2 linked regions of the Oryctolagus cuniculus genome follow. The protein of the gene in region 1 interacts with the protein of each later gene in a biochemical or structural test. Links are inferred from orthologs where the notes say so. Each region holds a gene or a part of one and is shown on either strand. Other genes may lie near its edges. The genes, in order: MAPK8IP3 and MAPK10.

Region 1 (2,527 bases):
ACAGCTAAAACCACTCCAAAGGCTCATGCTGATGCGAAACCTCCCCCTGCAACACGTCCACACATGGTAGAGGCTGGCAGAGGGGCCGAGGAGGGGCGGGGCTTTCCTCCTGATAGACAGCAGGCTCATCCCAGGGCCCACGGCTCACTGGCGCCCAGGCTCCAGGAAGACGTCCCACAGGGCTTCAGGCAGTGCCATGGAGCTGGGCAGCTCTGAGTGGACAGCCAGAGTCCAGCTGGGAGGGAGCAGGTGGCTGGCCTGAGCAGGTGGCCCCATGCAGGGACCCAGTCCATCCTCGTTCAGGTGGACTAAGACCCTGCAGCCCCAGGTTCGTGAGCTCTGGGTGTGGCCTCCGCGGGGGCTCACAGGGCTGTGACTCCCCCTGCCCCCAGCTGCCAGCGACAGCGACTACCCTCCGGGGGAGATGTTCCTGGACAGCGAGATGAACCCCGAGGACTCTGGTGCCGACGGCGTGCTGGCCGGCATCACCCTGGTGGGCTGCGCCACCCGCTGCACCGTGCCACGCAGCAGCTGCTCCTCCCGAGGGGACACCCCCGTGCTGGACAAGGGGCAGGGTGAGTGCTGGGTGCCTCGGGCTCTCTGGCCCTCGTCGCTGTCTCTGCCCAGCCCAAGCTCACCCCTCCTCCCACAGGAGAAGTGGCTGCCGTCGCCAACGGGAAGGCCAACCCTTCGCAGTCCACAGAGGAAGCCACGGAAGCCACAGAGGTGCCAGACCCCGGGCCCAGCGCGCCAGAGGCGGCTGCTGTGCGGCCCGGGACCCTCACGGAGCACGTCTTCACCGACCCAGCCCCAACCCCGTCCGCAAGCACCCAACCTGACAGGTGGGCCCTCCGGACAGGAGCAGAGGGAGGCTGGCCACGGCGGGCAGGGCCTGGGGATCCCAGGGCAGGCGCGTGCTCCGAGGGCCACCTGTGGCCATCGTCCCTCCCACAGTGAGAATGGCCCAGAGCCGGACGGGAGCGTTGCTCAGCCGGAGCCGGAGCCCAGTGGGGACCCTGCGGGGGCCAGCAGCAGCGCCGCGCCCACCATGTGGCTGGGAGCCCAGAATGGCTGGTAGGTGGTGCGGAGGGGGTGGGGGCAGAGGGGCGGGGAGCCTCTGGCCCACCGCCCGCTCCTCCCACAGGCTCTATGTGCACTCGGCCGTGGCCAACTGGAAGAAGTGTCTGCACTCCATCAAGCTGAAGGACTCCGTGCTCAGCCTGGTGTACGTGACCCCGAGTTGGGGGCGGGGGGTCGGGAGGGGTCCTCGCTCAGCCTGAGCCCCCCTCCCGTTGCAGGCATGTCAAAGGCCGAGTGCTCGTGGCCCTGGCGGATGGAACTCTGGCCATCTTCCACCGTGGCGAGGGTAAGCCTGGCCGCTCAGCCTGGCGTGCGTAGGGGTGGTGTGCGGGCCCCGCCAGGCTGAGCGGCTGTCGCGGGCTCTCTGCAGATGGCCAGTGGGACCTGAGCAACTACCACCTGATGGACCTGGGCCACCCGCACCACTCCATCCGCTGCATGGCCGTCGTGTACGACCGTGTGTGGTGTGGCTACAAGAACAAGGTGCACGTCATCCAGCCCAAGACCATGCAGGTGGAGGTGAGGCCGGGCAGCTCTGCCGCAGGTCATGTGCAGGCCCCGCCCCTGCCCCTTGGCCTCCCCCAGGGGCCTGGCCCTCCGTGAGCCAGGCAGGTGCTGGGTGGGGGCTTGGGGGCGGCCCCCTGGCAGCGTGACCCCGAGGCTGCGACAGGCAGTTCCAGGTTCCCCGCCCCTTCCGGTCCCTCCCACTCCATGACCAGCCTCCACCACCCCGCAGAAGTCATTCGACGCCCACCCACGGCGGGAGAGCCAGGTGCGGCAGCTGGCGTGGATTGGCGACGGGGTGTGGGTGTCGATCCGCCTGGACTCCACGCTGCGGCTGTACCACGCCCACACCCACCAGCACCTGCAGGACGTGGACATCGAGCCCTACGTCAGCAAGATGCTGGGTGAGGGGCTGTGCTGGGTGGGGCAGCGTGGGGGCCCCAGCCCCGGCACACACACTGACCACTCCCCCCACAGGCACCGGCAAGCTGGGCTTCTCTTTCGTGCGCATCACGGCCTTGCTCATTGCCGGCAACCGCCTCTGGGTGGGCACTGGCAACGGAGTCGTCATCTCCATCCCCCTGACGGAGAGTGAGTGACCCCCGCCTGCCCCGGGCCTGCGCGGGCTCCTGCCCAGGGTGGGGCTCCGCGACCTGGCTCCTGATGGCCTCTCCTCCCCCTTCTGCCTCCCTGCCCAGCTGTGGTCCTGCACCGAGGCCAGCTCCTGGGGCTCCGAGGTAAGTGCAGGGCGCCCACCCCGGCCCCGAGCGGCTGCGGCGTCCGTGCTCCCGCCGGCCGGCTCAGCCCCTCTGGCTCCTCTGTCTCAGCCAACAAGACGTCCCCCACCTCTGGGGAGGGGGCCCGCCCCGGAGGCGTCATCCACGTGTACGGGGACGACAGCGGCGACAAGTCCGCCAGCAGCTTCATCCCCTACTGCTCCATG
Region 2 (3,917 bases), on another chromosome or scaffold:
AAGCAGTCTTCTTGTAGAGGTAGGCTAATTGTGAAGACTAAAGGTAATCAACTTTTTTGAATTTGAAATTAGAGCAAAGAGACATCAAAAAACTTGTCCAATGGACTAAAATGACAGAAAGCTCACCATATATATATATATATATATATGTATATATATATTTGTAATTTTCTTCCTGAACAAAACAGCAGTAACAATAACAAAAACACTAAAAACTTTTGTGGTCCCATGCAGTTTATGATGTACTTCACTGTCCACAATTACTACCAAGTTTATGTGTTGACTGTTATGATTTTTCCATTAACATATGGAGAAAGCCCCTGACTCATATAAGTAGGATAGCTCTAAAACCATTTGGATTTGTGTAAACCCAGCCCTAGGACTGGATTGCAATAGTTAGAAACCCACCCCAAAGGTGTTTAAGTGAACAAAGAATTGCATCATATCATGTAATTTGAGAAATCCAAGGGCTGGAGTTGGTTTCAGCAAATTACATAGTGAAAATTTTCCTTATGTACAACAAGATTTTAAAAAATTTGATGAACTTAATTTTTTTTTTTTTTAGTAAAACTAGTGGACTGTTCTTGTTGCAAGAAACTATTTATAGATATAAAATTCTCTGGAGACTTAAAATACCCTTGTAATATTCAAAAACAAAGCAAATTACTTAAATAAAATTTGAGATATTTGCAGCAAATAGTAATAATGTTATTTGTACCAGTTTTCCAGGGAATTATCTGCAATTAAAAAAAAATCTTGATTTGTTAAATAATCAGTATTTTCTTTCTACACTCAAATTGCAAGCTCAGCATTAGTCTGGTGAGTTTGGTTTAGTGGTTGTTTATCAGGATTTTTAGGAAAACAGCAAACAGGGAAGGGGAAGAGTGCGGTGCAAACGACCCTGGGGTCCAGGCAAGACTAGTGCTCCCTTCTCCCCCGACGTGATTGTGCATCTAGCTTGTTTTGATATTTGGAGGTACTGCATGGGTCTTCCTGCTGTTTACAAAAAGCTCCAGAGAGGTGAAAAGCAGAGGTTGCCTGCATTTGAATATTTTTTTCCGTCTGCGAATTTGCGAATTTGTTCCTCAGTCAGGGCTGCAGGGCAAAGGGACAGAGCTGCGCCGAGGAAATTGTTTTTCTGTGTTGTGCAGAAGGCTCCCGGATGGAGTTGCAGATTCCGGCTTCCAAGGCACCCCGTTCTTTTACATTTTGCCCGGTCCTCATTTCAGCAGAAAACGCTGGAGCTTGTAGCCGCACATAGACTTTTTCCTCTCTCTCTTCCCCCCTTGTACCCCTCCCTAGACCTCTCTGGGCTTTGACGTCATGTGTGCTCCTTTCGGTTGCCATAGAAACCCCATTCCCCAAGCCCTCTGTCCGTCTCCTCTGGTAGGTTCCACAATGGTACCGGCAGCATCACGCTGCACAATGGTTTCCAGGCAGTGAAAGAGGGTGATTCAGCAAGCCACTCGTCCTCGTCGTCATCTTTTTTTTTCCTTTTCTTTTCTAAACCTCCCCTTCTCTTTTTATTTTTATGGGGGTGGGTGGTGCTTATTACATGCTTACCTTTTTCTTTTCTTTTTTCATTTTTACAAATTTCTTTTTTTCGCCTCACCCCTCAATTTCTAGGGGTGTGAGTGAGTTTAAGATTGGGCTTTCTTGGAAATCACCTGTCCATCATTAATTTTAAACCATTTGCCCACCTCTAAGGAATCTCCTCCTTGTCACAGTTCGGAATGTGGTTAATGAGAAGCAAGTAGGGAGGATTTCTGGGGCAAAGACTGCCGGATCAGGACCCTAGTTCTCAGGCACGGAATGGTAGGTGTCTATTTGCTCATTCTCGGCTCCGACCTGGGTTTGGAGGGTGGGGTGATTGCTCCTGGTGGGGTGGGAGGGGGAGTTGAAGTGGGGAGGTGGGCAGGGAGATGGGGTGGGAAGCAGGTGAATCAAGCGAACTCTCCAAGGCCAGAAACCACCAGCATTTTCCTCTGTGCCGCACACCTCTTCCTAGACCCGGGCGTGTTGAAGCCTTGCTGTTTGGAGTGAGGGGTGACAGAAGGTGGGAGGGAGCATTCTTATTGTGACCAGGGGACTTTAGACCAATGCACAGCTATAGAAGGGAAGATCTTGAGGAGCAAATACATTGGGGGGTGGAGGAGGAGGAGGAGGAGAAGAGAGAAAACAGCTGTGCTTGTCAGAAGTGCTGACCTCAGTACCATTTCTGAGAATTGCTATGGGTTCCATAAAACATTAAAAAAAAATCATGTCTTTTAGTACGCATTTATGTTTACTCCCTGAGAGGTATAACTTAAATAAATATTTGGAATTATGTTTAAGTAAGGGATGGTAATTATATGTATTTTAGGTGCAAAAGCAATGGCACTACTCTTGCAGAGCAACTCCAGGTTAAATCTGGGATGGGAAGAGGAGCACAGAACAGGGGTCAGGCTAGAGATAAGACGAATCATTGACACTGCAGTCACATAGGTAAGGGGTCACTTTAAGAAAGTGATCTCCTAGTCACACCAGGCAGATTTCTTCTTCATTGTTTTTTAATGGCAAGATTCCCAGGTATTCTATACTGGGATACTGTGTCCCCTAGAAATGTCAGAGCTATTTTGGAAAAAAAAATACAGGTGTATCATAGTCAGTGAGCATGTCAGTTTATCAGAATATTGGTATTTGTGCCTTCAGGAAAATAAATGTGATATATTGGAAAATCTTCAACTAAGTCAGATTATATAGATAGTCCAAGAAAATTATATATATATATATACATATATATTTATCCTTTTTCCTTTGAATCTGAAGACAGAGTCTCTGTTTTTACATCCTTAAACAAATAACTTCCCAAGGTACGGCAGTTGCAGCCACAGGAAAAGAATGGCTTGTCCCATGGCAGTAGGCTCTGGAGCTGTCACAGGGCTGTTTACATGGGCAGCCTTTGCTGCAGAGCCTGGCAATGTCTATACAGCAGCCCTGTCTGCTTCTGGTGTGTTGATGGTAACTTTCACGAGCTGACGGGAAAGAGGCAGGCTAAGTCATATGGGACAGGCCACCGCTGAGACACAAGGAAAATGGGTGTTGGTACACCAGGCATTGCCAGCCCAAGGTCCAGTTTCTCCCTGCCAGCTGCTGGACCATGGAATATCCCACAGAATGCTGACCAATGGCCTAAAATGGTTGCAGTGGTGACCATTTCGCCCAGGGAGTCTTCTGTAAATTTTCTGCTTTAGGTAAGCATGCATGTTGTGAGTATAGGTAGCAGGGCTCCTGAGTGAGCTCACAGGCTTCTGACCCCTGGGTCTTAGGACTGGACAGTTTGAATGGAGCAATTCTGCTGCCCCTCGTATGTACTCCCTTCTTTACCTTGAGCTTATTCTCAGAATGGACAGAAAGTCTTGGGTTATCTTCTTTGATCACATGGTGCAAACGGGATTTTTGCTCCCCCACAATGAAACTAGAAAATCAGATGACAAAGGTGGCATGACCTTAATTATTAGCCTTCCTGTTTCCTCATTTACATATCCTTCCCTCCTGCTGGTGCAAATTAAAGTATCTTTGAGGGGCTTCCTGTTCTTACAAAATCTTCACAGTTTCAGTACAAAGATTCTTGGTGATGAGGCGATAAGAAATGAGATGCAGAGTGGAGACATCAGCTGCCTCCAGCTTCCTGCCTGCTCCCCCCAAGAGCAGCATCTGCTGCTGGGAGGAGTGTGTTTGCCTCACTGGAAGGGGATGTTTATGAGCAGATCCCAGAGGGACTGAGTGTGGTTTTTGCTGTCATTGTCTGGTACGTCTGTAGCTATCAGTATTTAAAGGTTTCATAGTACGTGGTCCATATTTTTCAAGGTTAGAGTGAATCAGGAGTGTGTGGGTGCAATAGCATATAAGTATTTAAAATTTACAGGACATTTCAT

The links.
Region 2: the proteins of MAPK8IP3 (region 1) and MAPK10 form a complex in vitro, tested with the Homo sapiens proteins (3 studies listed by BioGRID, with this or other methods). The link is inferred for Oryctolagus cuniculus from reciprocal best matches to the Homo sapiens genes MAPK8IP3 and MAPK10.

The regions. Positions count from the first base shown.
Region 1 is NC_091450.1:33,394,537-33,397,063, reverse strand, and holds part of MAPK8IP3 (C-Jun-amino-terminal kinase-interacting protein 3), read left to right. Parts: intron 1-392; coding exon 393-575; intron 576-652; coding exon 653-842; intron 843-954; coding exon 955-1,074; intron 1,075-1,144; coding exon 1,145-1,225; intron 1,226-1,298; coding exon 1,299-1,366; intron 1,367-1,450; coding exon 1,451-1,599; intron 1,600-1,816; coding exon 1,817-1,988; intron 1,989-2,061; coding exon 2,062-2,175; intron 2,176-2,282; coding exon 2,283-2,321; intron 2,322-2,411; coding exon 2,412-2,527.
Region 2 is NC_091439.1:81,604,776-81,608,692, reverse strand, and holds the start of MAPK10 (mitogen-activated protein kinase 10), read left to right. Parts: upstream 1-1,375; 5' UTR 1,376-1,815; intron 1,816-3,917. UniProt on the Homo sapiens protein: Serine/threonine-protein kinase involved in various processes such as neuronal proliferation, differentiation, migration and programmed cell death.